Regions from separate parts of the Mus musculus genome. Here regions 1, 2 and 3 are each reported to be linked to region 4. Evidence: microRNA targets listed by miRTarBase, many of them from high-throughput screens and not tested one by one. Region 4 holds a microRNA gene; each other region holds the end of a gene's coding sequence.

Region 1 (3,216 bases), not on the chromosome of region 4:
AAAAAAAACACTTTTATTTTCCACAAGGAAGAGCAATAGGAAAAGTTAAATCATTTCCCACATGGTTTTCTTAAAACAGAGCCTACAAGGACATATTCAGCACCAAATAAAAGATTACAACAGCCATAGAATATAATCTATAAAGCAAACATTTAATATTGCACTTTGTTTCTCAAACATTTTGGATTTGACTTTTCCTAAATGAAAAATTAGGAAGCTATCTTGAATACTAGAGCATGACTGTGGCCCTCAGGTGTTATGTCAAGAATTGACCAATATTTAGAAGTATAATGCCTCTAAAGAGTAAAGAAATAATTAATGGGAAAAGTAAAACCTTATTTTGCCAAATCGTAAAAGAATTTTGTCACCAGTGCCAATTAATCAGAATATTGGTCATTCTTGCTAATAGAGTACTTTGTCGAACATGGTAGTGAGTGCCCAAGGCCATGCACACCAACAATTGTTCCCTAGTTAGACATAACACAGAGTCAGGTGTTTTCAGACAATCCCTACCAACGAAAACAAAACCACCAAATGCCCTTTATGCCAAATATCCCATCAGCTTCTTCTGGGGGTGGGGGACATTCACAAAATGATTTAACAATTAAAAAAATAATTCACCCCATTTCCTTATTATCTAGTATTAGTTTGCTATGGGAGCACAAACCCTTTAACTGAATCACTTAAAACGCGATTCATTTTTACAACGGGCTTTCTTCACCCTGTCAGCATTATTTCAAACATGAATTATCTTCCATGTTTTCTTAAAGGCCACTTATGGAAAAGCCTATTTTGTATGAAGCTTTAAGACAGTATTTAACCAGGTCAAGCACCAGGCCAGCGTTCCGAGTCTTCTCAGGCACTGTAACTGTGGGGCAGAGGGCAAGGTGGGCAGATGACAAGCTCCATCTCACACATGATGTTGTAACATCAGAGATGCTGGTGTCACTAAGAACACAAGCCAACTCTTACAAAATCACTCTATTTTGTACTTTGAGAAGGTGGGGGTTTTAGTTGTTTCATGAATGTTAGTATATGGTTACAATCCAACCATAAATTATCTTTAAAAATAATTTACTCATGTGTTGCTCTACCTATATATACTCAAAGCTAGAGACCTATCAATGTTTCTTAGATGACAGGAAAAATTGTTGAAAAACAATATTATACACGTGTACAAACTAAAGCTACTTATCCCAGCAAACATTCTAGTTTTTCTACTTATAAAGTTACACACTTTGGAAACAAATTTGGGATTTTATTCTCTCAAACTTGAGCAAATGTATAAATGAAGCTTCCCCCATCATGACCTTGATATATTCTGGCTTATTGAAGTACCTTGCATCAGCAAAACTGATTTCCAACATATGTGTTTTGGAGGTAATTAAGTAACTCTGTATAAAAATAAATGCACTTTTCCCTCCCTTCCCTAGTGACCGGGCAGCTTCCACTCGTTTTTAAAATAATAAAAATATTTTTCCAGAGCAACAGCCCTTGCCTCTGCTGGTGCCCGCCCTACTGTCTTTCTCCACTCTGAGCTTTGTTTCTTCTTATATGTAATGATAAAAAGGGGAATGTGGGTGGGTTATCAGTTTTGTGTATGTCCCATTTCCGAATATCCCTCTCCAAAAAATCCAACCAAATAACAACAATTAACAACAACAACAACAACATAACAGTGCAACAAACATAGACGGCATTCCAACAGTTTGGCAAGTGATGCATTCACCTGAGATTGAGTGATGTTAGGCAGTCAGTAACACAAGGCTGCTCTGCTATCAATAGTAGAAAGGCAACACTCTCACAGAAAACCAAACAACAGCCATACAAAGTCTCTTGTCAGCCTCCTCCTCTTGTCTCTTTTCTCCTTGTATCTGTTGCTTATCTACTACAGTAGGCTGCAAAACATACAGCAAAAGGATTGGCTTGAAGGCATTTGATGTTTGTAAATAAATCCACAGTAGGATCCAAGCTGAAGAGGTGATACATGGTCAGCCTAGTAGGACAATTCTGAGCATGTGCATATGCAGGTAGAGTCCAGGCTACATTAACTTAACAAACAAACAAAAAACCCAAAAAACAAAACAAAACAAAAAACTAAGAAAAAAAACCTGTCAGTGCATTTTGTTTTGTTTTTTTAATGTCAAAGTTTTTCAAAGCTTTCTTTTGTTCCATGTTGTGCTGACCATAAACAAGTTGTAAGAGTATCAAGAGTCTGGCATAAATGGAAAAAAAATGCTGTAGTGACACTGAACTGCACAATGTAAGCATTGAGCATGTGCAAATTTTCAAATAGGAAGGACAACATCCTTCTTTGCAATGGTGTCTTGACACGGATGACCACAGGCTAAGAAGACTGCCCTTAACATGTGCCAGTTTTAAAGAAGGAAAGCTCAGATCTTCAAGCATGTTGGAACAGCCCCAAATGATGCTGTAGGATTCTAAAGCATGATCACTGGTTGTTTCATGTGTTTGCCATCTGTCTGGGCAAAGGCAATTCCACTTCCTCTGCAAACGTGTCTCCAAGATACTTCTCTGTCCTCAGCTGGAAGAGATACAGTTCAGAACCCATGTCAACTTGACTCAGTCAAGTGTTGCTTCAGCGAGAGGGGCATGATGGTCTGTCCTCGGATGACTGATCAGGATTTGGATCAATCTAGTAGGAATAAGATAAAATTTACAAAGTTAACTTGGTAAGGTGAAGGAAGAATGCAACACTTATCTGCTTTTCAGTAACAATCAGCAAATATAACCAATATAATCAGAGGCTATACATAACTTCTTAGGCTAATTATACACTGGTGTTCCCTCCCTCGGAAGTGCTACATGAGAACGCAAGGGTACTACTAGCATTATAGTTCTGCATGAATAGTTCAATTGCACACAAGTTCCTGGCGGGCTCTCTTTTAGCAGGGCAGTTTCACTCAACATCAGCGGTGCGTACACTCAGATATAGCACTGGAATATAGCATCAAACCGCTCATGTCCTTTGTAAAGTGACTCTTTTGTTCTTGTTCTAAAGGCTAGTGCACCTTTTCCTGAGGGTCTCTGGCTCCTGTGAAACTTAAGGGTCTTCTGGACAAGTCTGATCCATTTGAACTTAAATGTCAGACACCCACAGTACCTCACAAGTTTTCCACAAAATACACATCTCTGAAGAAAACAGCCAGTTGTCTTGTAGTTAAGTTACATTCCAGAGCTATTTTAGTGTTGTAC
Region 2 (3,000 bases), not on the chromosome of region 4:
TTTCCTATGGGGCTCAGCAGGTGTGCAGCTGAGTGAAGTTGAGGCCAGCTCTTTTTTTTTTTTTTTTTTTTTTTTTTTTGGTTTTTCAAGACAGGGTTTCTCTGTGTAGCCCTGGCTGTCCTGGAACTCACTCTGTAGACCAGGCTGGCCTCGAACTCAAAAATCGCCTGCCTCTGCCTCCCGAGTGCTGGGATTAAACGCCACCACGCCTGGCAAAGCCAGCTCTTATTAAAGGTCTTTTTTTCACAGCATCCCATTAGCTGCCGGCAAGTTTGACCGAGAATTGTACTTGATAGGAATTAAAAGGCGGATTTCAAAGGAGATTCAGAGACAGGAAGCACTGAAGAGCCAGAGCTCCAGTGCAGTTTGCACCGTGTCCTGAAGATTCCAGACCAGGACTGGCCACAGCAACGGGGGCCAAGGTCACTGCAAAGGATGGGCTTCTTCTCAGCTGCTCCTGTAATGCTGGGATTCTAATCCACCACGGCCAGGGGCTCCCTGCTCTCACCACAGACCCAGCCCTCAGGACATTTATACCATGTTCCCACAGGCACATGGCAGGGCATGTGGACACCAAGCAGCAGTTTTGTCCTCAGGAGTAGTCCAGACTTCTTGCCCTTGAGCACTGCTGTCTCTTCAAACTCCTTTTATTTATTCCTGTTCTCATGCTAGAGCCCAGGTTCTCCATCTGTATCCTCCTAGTAGCTCCTTCCCTCCAGGGAAGGATCAGGCAACCTCTGGTATCCTAGATGCTCAATGCCTAGAACCTGCCAGGACTTCAATTCTGGGATATTCCCTACAGACATTTTGACAGGCTTTGAGGTTCTACATCCTGGTCCCAGGCTCCCAACCCCCAGTTGAGTAGGGACCTCTCCACTCTACAGGCCAAGCCTAGCTATATTAAACTCATAGTTTTTAGGAGCTTCAGACCATTTGCTTTTGTGCTGCTAGTCCCGGAAAGGCATGAGAAATTGTTACCAGACAGCACCTTGCTGGGTTTCACTCCTTGAAGAAAGCTTAGGAGCATCATTGCTCTCAATCTTACCCCACCCCTTCAGACATAGCCTTGAATGTACAGACACCTAGGGGCATCCACTCTAGTCTTCTAAATCATTTATTTTTCCATATTTATATTTTTAAATAAATAAGGATATATTCAATTGTAAACTCTTTCTGGCCAAAGAGTGAACCTTGGAAGAAGTCTGCATGCATCTTGGGGCCTCAGGACACCCCAGGGTTTTAAAAGGACATAGAAGTCAAAGGCCAAACATTTGGTCTCAGCTGTCACCTGCTACTCAGTCCCATCCCAGGTCTTTCTGCTAGGTACTGTCCCTGCTCACAGCCAGAAGCAGCAATAGCTGGAAAAAGTGACGACTTGGGACTCCAGTGAACCATAATAAACCAACGAATAAGGTGAAACTCAACAGCATCAGCTTCTCCAATATGGAAAGTCACCTGCTTCAATAAACCACTGTGAACTGCAAATTCTACTGGGAAGACAGCCTTTTCTCTCCCAGACAGGCTGCCCTGGACTTCATAATCCTGCCTCAACTATTCCTGGCTTGAATAAGGTTTGATGTGGTAAGAGTTCCAGACAGGTTTCTCTGTAGCCCCGGCTGTCCTGGAACTCTCTGTAGACCAGGCTGGCCTCGAACTTGGAGAACCACCTGCTTCTGCCTCCTGAATGCTGGGATTAAAGGCGTGCACTACCACAGCCCAGCAGTTTGGTGCTTCTTTGTGGACATTCTCTGGCACCTTAGAAAAGACTGAGGTAATCCTGGAACTTCCCAGTTTGGCCCAAGATCAAGATCATAAAGTCTTAGGGGTCGGGGGGCAAAGTACAGCCATAGCAATTTACATTTAGATAGCCTTTACATTTAGAGGGCATTTCAGTTGGAAAAGTTAAACACGTAAACTAGTGCAGATGAAGTGGGAAATTAAAACTGGACTTGTAAATAATTGTGAGATACAACTGGCATGGTGACTCTTACTAGAAAGACCAGTAACTGAGGCAAAGACAAGCTCACTGTGAGGCCAGCCAGGGCTAATTAGTATTTTATCTCAAAAAACAAAGGAGAAGATTGTGAAATACCTTTAGGCTTGTTAAAGAACTTAAGCTTTAGAAATGAGGCCAGGTGTGGTAGCACTTGCCTATAATTTTAGCACCTGGGAGGCAGAGGCAGGAGGGTCTCTGAGTTTGAGATGAGTATATCTTATATCAAGTCTCAAGCCACTCAGGGTTTTACTGTGAGATCCTATTTGAAGGGGAAAAAAATGAGTACAATTTATGCCAGTGGTTCTACCAATGGGTAGGCCCTGTGTGCTTTCAGAGTGTGGCGCTTTGTCTCCCTAGAGTCCCAAGACTTTCTAATCTTTCCCAGCCTTCCTTGCTCCAGAAACATCTAGTGGCCAGACAGCACCTGCTTTGGCAGATACTCAGGAAAAATACTTGTTAGATGAAAAATAAGCCACTTGTGTTTGAAAGACACAAAAGTGCAGTGGCAACAGTAACTTTCATTCAAGTTTCCAGAGTTTCACTGTTGGCACTGTTCACACAGCTAGCTAGCCTTATGCAGTGTCTACACCAACAGTAACATGCACACAAGCACTCTACAGCCAGCTCTAAGGGACTCTACCGGAACAGCCGGTATGATCTGGGCAGGTGTCCATTTCTGCTGGACAGCGCTGCCTGGATGTGCTCATAGGTGGGTAGGTCAGTCAAATCACCCAGGGCAGCCACAGCAGGCTTGCCACGGAGCATCTTGGAAGCAACCCTCTTGATATCTTCTGGCTTCACGTTGCCTACAACAGAGAGTAAAAGACAGTGAGGGCAAGAGTGGAGTTTCCAACTCCATCTCAAACTGTGTGCACTCAAACAGTGACCAGATGCCTCCTTCCCAAGGCTGAGGAGCCTATTAGTACAGGATGGAGCTTGCAAAGGACTTTGGGGAAGCCGGGGATTGTGGTATGGCAGACAACAGGAGATCCGTCTGTCTGTTT
Region 3 (3,216 bases), not on the chromosome of region 4:
TGCCCCCCGCCGATCTGAAAGGATGTGCTGAGAGATAATTCATGCCTTTCCAAGTTAAGGGACTTTCGTAGTAAATAGTGCGCTTTCAGAGGTGGATTTACCAGCAGATAAACCTGTAAAAATTCTACTGTCAAGTCAAAGATGAATTTCAGAGAATGTGTAAACTTTGATAGAGGTAAACATAATATTTTATTTGATCGATGAGAAACTCCACTCCAATGCTTCCGAGCAAACTTCCTCGCCTATTTGTAACTTTGTGTTATGTGTTGGAATTTACGATAATTCTTTGAATGTACTAAGCCTTTTCCATTACTACGCACATGCAATCTAACTCACTGCAATCCTGCCTGTTTTTTCTAATTGCTGCATCATGGTGTATGTGCGCAGGCACTTGAGCAACTAGGTCCTATTGCCTTTGCTGACTTACTTATTCCCTCTCTTTGAAGGTGAAAGTGTGGTTCCAGAACAGGAGAATGAAGTGGAAGCGGGTCAAAGGGGGACAGCAAGGAGCTGCTGCCCGAGAAAAGGAACTGGTGAATGTGAAAAAGGGAACGCTTCTTCCGTCAGAGCTGTCAGGAATCGGTGCAGCCACCCTCCAGCAGACAGGGGACTCACTAGCAAACGAGGACAGCCGCGATAGTGACCACAGCTCTGAGCACGCACACTTATGATACCTACAAAGACCAGCTCCATTCTCAGGAAAGCACCATTGTGATGGCAAACCTTACCGAACATCGTTTACATGGCAGATGTCTGTGGCAGTGTGGCTTAGTATAATTAAATGCAGGCATCTCGAGTCTGTGTCTCATGATGGATAGACGGTTTACACTAAGTGCCTTTTATTGAAGATGCTTCCACAGTGAAATTGGAGAAAGCGAACGTATTCCAAATACACTTGTTCCTATATATGACAGAGAGGGAGATGGATGTTTGCTTTGGCTTGCACTGAAAATTAAATTTGCTACCAAGAGCAAACTTGATAAGACGTTTTTACTCAAGATGTCTCCAGAGTGAAGATGTTAAAAATAAAAAATGCTTTGAACATTCCAGTTGTGCCAGGTCATGTGTGTGACACTAGGCAGGTATTTGCTTTTGCTTGCACTGAAAATTAAACTGCTATCAAGTTAATCCATGAAATAGTTTATCTTGAACAGCCACAGTGCCTGAAATCACCAAGTGGATATAAAATGTACTGAAACTCTGTATATATTACCCCTAAGTCATTTTTCCTGTCTTCACTAATTTTAGCAAATGCATTCATATTAGCTGATTAAAAATAGGCTTTTCCATTGACAAACACAGCCAGCTTCTTGTATTTTTATACATTTGTGTCAGACAGAGAAAATCAGTATGTGCTTACTTGTGTTCAAGTAGATAAAATGCAGTAGAGTCTGATAGGACATATCCTTGTACCACAGACAAAGCAAATCTTCTGTTGCATTGACTATCAACTGCTGCAGATACATTAGAGAACATACCTAGCTCCCCTCCAGCCTTCTTCTCTTATATCTTGAAAGACATTAGGATCATAGGCAAATCAGTTACCTTGCAGAACGAGTCTTGTGCGGCAAATGTCTGATTTTACATCTTTAAGTTGTTAATGTTTATGGGTCTGATTCAATTAACAGGGAAAAGCTTTCTTCCTCCTTGTTTATGATATAAAACCAAGTGCCAAACAAAGCTAATTCTTCAAGAGAATAGTTGAGAAACTGAATGTCTGACAATTAGACTCTGAAAGTGCATTATTTTTCATATGCTCTATATTCATGCAGAACAAGTTCTTGTATTTTGTAAAAAAAAAAAGATAAATAAATGATCCTTGAAATAATTATTGTCTCGCCACTGTGACTTCATTGGGTTTGGTAGATTTATTCTTTTATTTGGGATCAAGGCTGGTCTAGATGTCATTAGGTGACTCAGCTTGGCACTGACCTCTCAGCAATCTCTTGTCTCAGTCATCCAGGTGCCAGAATCATAGACTGGATCAACCATGTCTAGTTAATTTTAGTAGATTTGAAAAAAATAGATGCTTAAAAAGATTCCAAATTGTTTGCTTCTGTGTAAATCTAAATGGATATGAGTTATGAAATAAGATTCATAATTTCTGGTTTTTATTATGGCATAAAATTTGTAAGAATAGGCATATATATACTGAGCAATGTTAGGTAAATGAAATGGAAACATATTACAGGAGCTATAGGTAATGCATGGGCATTAGCCCAACACTTTTAGTTTATACTTATCTAACTTTTCAGTACTTAGTGAGAAACCCAAAAACTCACTCGCGGTAGATATATGCCCTACCATTGAACTCCCTGACCAGTCTGCAAATAGATGCTTCACGTTCATGATCTCTAGCTTTGGTGTGAAATATGAGATGAACAAACGTAAAAAGAACCCCACTTCTAACAGACATTGTTGATAGAAGAAAAATAAGGTGTCTCATTGCACAGCCAGTGTCACATCTAAGAGGGTGTCAGGACCTTGGATGACAAACCCCTGTTATTATCACTTTATCACCTTGCTTTTGGTTCATTATTCATTTGACTCAGAAGGAGTCAGGAATATTACCAGTCCTCACTTATATTAAAAGAGTAAAAATTCGACCAAATAAACAATATGTGATTGATGAATTTTCTTTAGAATGATTAAACTAGTAAAACACGTTTAATTTAATTTATCCTAATGTGATACCAATAGTATTCAGGGAAAAAGTCACTTTTTTTTTCATCTGTGCAATAATTTTCATCTCACTATAGAACAATATTTCTGAATTAATATGGACAAATATATCATTTTCATTGTCATAAACATATTTTCTTATCAATCACTTGAATGAATATAAAGTATATTTGTGTTGCTAATATATACTTTGGTGGGTTGACATTTTTTATTTTACAATTGAGTTCAAAATGAAATATCTTGAGAAATTGGGTAAAAGAAAGATACAAATCAAATTGAATTCAATTGGAAAAGGGTATGAAATAATTCATTTAGGCATGAAAATAATGAGAAATTGAAAGTTAGACGTAACCAAAGAGAGCAATAAGGTTTGTTGTGAAACTAAAACACTTATAAATCAGACTTAGAGCTTATTATGACCAATACAATCATTATAATGGTAATTATTCTACATACACAAGATATTCACAAATGAAATGAGGCAAGAGTAGGATGGAATATACTTCCCTGTGAATAATCCTAAAATGAAAAATT
Region 4 (3,216 bases):
CTTGGAGAAAGGAAAGTGCCCTAGGGCTCTGTAAGTCCATGCCCTTGTCTTTTCTTTATTTTACTTTACTTTTTGAGGCAGAGGCTCATGTAAACCATGCTGGCCTTGAATTTCTGATCCGCCTGCCTTCATTTCTCAGGTGCTAGGACTAGAGGTAACACCACATTTAGATCATGTGCTGTTGTGTATTAAATCCAGAGCCGTGTGCATCAGCGCTTTGTGCTTGTTGAAGTCTGTGGAAGGTCTATCCCCAACTCTATCTGTAGCATGATGGTCCTTTACTAATGCTGGGTGCTAAGAACAATCAGAGGCATGAAGCTAGCTGCTAGTTCTAAGAAGTAGGGGCACCTATAAAAGCACAGTATCACCCCCATAGCAGGCCTGTGGCCAGCCAGCTAGGAAAGGCACCAAGTTCCCCATTAGAATACAGAGAGCAAAAGAACATCTGGACAAGTCTTGGGAGGCCTTGTGGACAAAGAAAATGATTTTGGGGCTGGGAGATGGTTCTGAGTCCCCAGCACCCACATAAGCAGCCAAGTGTGGGCATTGGTAATCCCAGTAGTGCAGTGGAGACAGGTGGAATTCTCTAGCTCAGTGCCAGCTAGCCTTGCAGTTTGTGAGTTCTAGGCCAGTGAGAGATGCTCTCTCAAAAGACAGAGTTGATGGCTCCCGAGGAACAATACATGAAGCTGACTCTGGCTTCCACATCTATGTTCCTTTATACTTACACAGACTGGCCCTCCTCCCCCAAAGAAATGATGTCTGCCATCAGATTTACTCAGGGTTAGATTTTAGTCTACAGTTGGAAAAAACACACAGGCAATTTATAGGACTGGGTTTTGGCCTCTGGCTTTCCCAAGAATTCTCAGTAGAAGGTAGACAGACAGACAGACAGACAGGCAGGCAGGCAGGCAGGCCGGCAGTAAATGCTCTCAGTCAATATGATCTTCCTTTTTCCTTCTCTTTAGGAGGTAATTATAACCCACCTGCTGGGCCCCAGGGGAACACACCCTTTGGAATTCTGAGAATAGAAGAATATCCAAGTCACAGGGCTTAGAAAGATTACTGAATCTATTTGTGGCAGGGGCGCCAGCCTCGCCTAGGGATGGCTGTGGAGATTTAGTCTCCTCTCAAGGAATGCTAAACATCACACATGGCAGATCAGTGAGGGTATATATTCAAGAACTCACTTAACTTTCCATGCCAGAGTCATTAATTTTTCAGACCACCTCTGGTTCCTGGAAGCAAGGGCTGGCCTGGAATTCTCTGGGATGTCAGTGTGTTCACAGCATTCACTCCATGCGTCACCAGGACGTGTGGAGCTAGAGTCTGCAGCCCTGAGGGAGCCCAGCACTGGGGCTTAACACCAACACTGTCCATCATGTGACTCTCAGGCTTGGTGGGCACTTATGCGGCCTCTATACACAGTCCCTTTCTCATTCATGACTTTTCATTATTATTTTAATCAGCATTAAAATATTTATGTTATGCTAGATTGCTAGAGCTATTTTGGGAACATAGTTCTTCCAAGCAGGAGTGGCAATAACAAGAAAAATGAAATTCTCAGAACATCCCAGGTACTTTTTTCCCCCTTTTAATTGCACTGTCTTCCCAGGAAACCTGAATCTCTCTCTGCCCTCCATGTCTTCAGGCTAGGGAAATGGATTGAGAGAAATGAGCACTATGCCCACAACATCCTTTATACAGAAGGACAATCTGAGCTTGATCCAGGTCAGGGATAAGGAGGAGAAGGAGCTATGCTCGCAGAACAGTCTAGGAGCTGCCAGCGCCAATTTGACTTTTCAGGAGCTAAGGTTGCATTCTGTACACATGCATGTGTGTGTGTGTGTGGAAAGGTGTTGATGATGGGTGTCTTCCACAATCTTTCTCCACCTTGCTGAGACAGTGTCTTTCATTTGGCCTGGAACTCACTCAGTAGGCTAGGCTGCCTGGCTAGGCCAGGAATCCACCAGTTTTACCTCCCCAGCTCCAGGGGTTAGGAACTCACAGGAGCTTTTTACATGGGTACTGGAGATGGAATGTGGATTCTCATGCTTGCCAAACACGTAACTGGCTGGGCCATCTCCCCAGGCCCCTCCAGGCCATCCCTATTTAAAGGCCAGGACCCAGTGTGTCTGCTTCTGATGAAAAAATAGCTTCCATCTTGCCATTCAGCAGGAATCCAGTAACATATGAAGAGAACACACATGCTATGAGCAAATAGTAACCAACTACGCCTTAAGACAAATTCTCAGCACGCCCCACTGTAAATGGAAGTTCTGGAACTCTTGTAATTATTCATTATAGCATCTATATTTAATTTAACAGTACTAAAGTTAATGTCAAAGTAGCAAAACTGGCCACAGAATAGAAAAGGAACTGAATGTTCAAATAGTTTGGTGCATTAGACTCAACTTTACGATGGTACATTGTATGACTAAAGGCCTACAGCATTGGAATATTGTTTTGGGATATGTAAAAGCCATTGGTAAAGTAGCTCTTAGGCTTAATTTTTATTATGTGTATTAAAGGAACGGCTAATTACCACATGATGGTATAATAGTCCTAGCATGTTTGAGCTGGAGACCAAAACAATGAACTTCAGCACGCCAAACCCGGACCTGCATGTTAAGCTGGGGAAATCATAGCTTTCTGTCTCGTTAACGATTTCCAATGCCATTTAAACTCCATACAAGCATTGTTAGGTATCAGGCTGTACGTCAGAAGCCTCTCAACTCAGCAGTTCAATTACAGAATTGTCTGAGGGAGGAGACAGAAAACACCCATAGACAGAATAGCATGCGGAGTTCTGTAAGCCACCTGCCCAGCCTCCAACCCAACATGCTTTGCCACTATCCACATCCACCCACCATGACAAACTCAAAAAACATTTTACGATCATCTGATAAGTTAATTCCTGAAGCAGGCTTGGAGGTAGTGTGCAGTTCGTTATGCAACTCAGGACCTTAAACAGCATAATTATATAACAAACAACCCTATCACCTGGATTTATTCAGCACATTTTGCTAAGCGAGGTAACATTAGCTCATTAATTCTAGTCATCCCTGCAGAAGCTGGGGGAAGGCATGCTGAGATGTGTCAGGCGCTGGCATCTCCCCCAGGGACAGGGATGGGAAGGAAAGCTGGCCAGGCCAACAGGTATGCAAAATGCTAATTATGAATGCTACTTCCTGAGACAGCAGCTACCTCAATTAT

What was found. The annotated mature microRNA mmu-miR-721 reads CAGUGCAAUUAAAAGGGGGAA and lies in region 4 at 1,586-1,606, opposite strand. An mRNA with a match to its seed (bases 2 to 7 or 8) in the 3' UTR can be bound and repressed. Matches are read on the target gene's strand: a 7mer-m8 pairs with bases 2 to 8, a 7mer-A1 pairs with bases 2 to 7 and ends in A, and an 8mer does both.
Region 1: the mRNA of Arrdc3 is a reported target of mmu-miR-721. Seed matches in the 3' UTR shown: 7mer-m8 at 1,678-1,684.
Region 2: the mRNA of Inpp5e is a reported target of mmu-miR-721. Seed matches in the 3' UTR shown: 7mer-A1 at 1,703-1,709.
Region 3: the mRNA of Meox2 is a reported target of mmu-miR-721. Seed matches in the 3' UTR shown: 7mer-m8 at 941-947 and 7mer-m8 at 1,097-1,103.

The regions. Positions count from the first base shown.
Region 1 is chr13:80,892,810-80,896,025 of GRCm38, reverse strand. Arrdc3 (arrestin domain containing 3) reads right to left here. Exons shown (of 8, transcript NM_001042591.1): 8 at 1-2,656. The coding sequence ends at 2,600. Among named protein-coding and RNA genes, the nearest start is that of Arrdc3, 11 kb to the right of the region's middle.
Region 2 is chr2:26,395,221-26,398,220 of GRCm38, reverse strand. Inpp5e (inositol polyphosphate-5-phosphatase E) reads left to right here. Exons shown (of 10, transcript NM_033134.3): 10 at 250-1,972. The coding sequence ends at 382. It overlaps Pmpca (peptidase (mitochondrial processing) alpha), which reads right to left. Exons shown (of 13, transcript NM_173180.3): 13 at 1,100-2,802. The coding sequence ends at 2,633. Among named protein-coding and RNA genes, the nearest start is that of Pmpca, 7.4 kb to the right of the region's middle.
Region 3 is chr12:37,177,707-37,180,922 of GRCm38, forward strand. Meox2 (mesenchyme homeobox 2) reads left to right here. Exons shown (of 3, transcript NM_008584.4): 3 at 447-1,828. The coding sequence ends at 671. Among named protein-coding and RNA genes, the nearest start is that of Agmo, 62 kb to the right of the region's middle.
Region 4 is chr5:136,374,192-136,377,407 of GRCm38, forward strand. It overlaps Mir721 (microRNA 721), which reads right to left and starts at 1,612; the gene lies at 1,525-1,612. The region is part of intron 4 of Cux1 (cut-like homeobox 1); the gene reads right to left.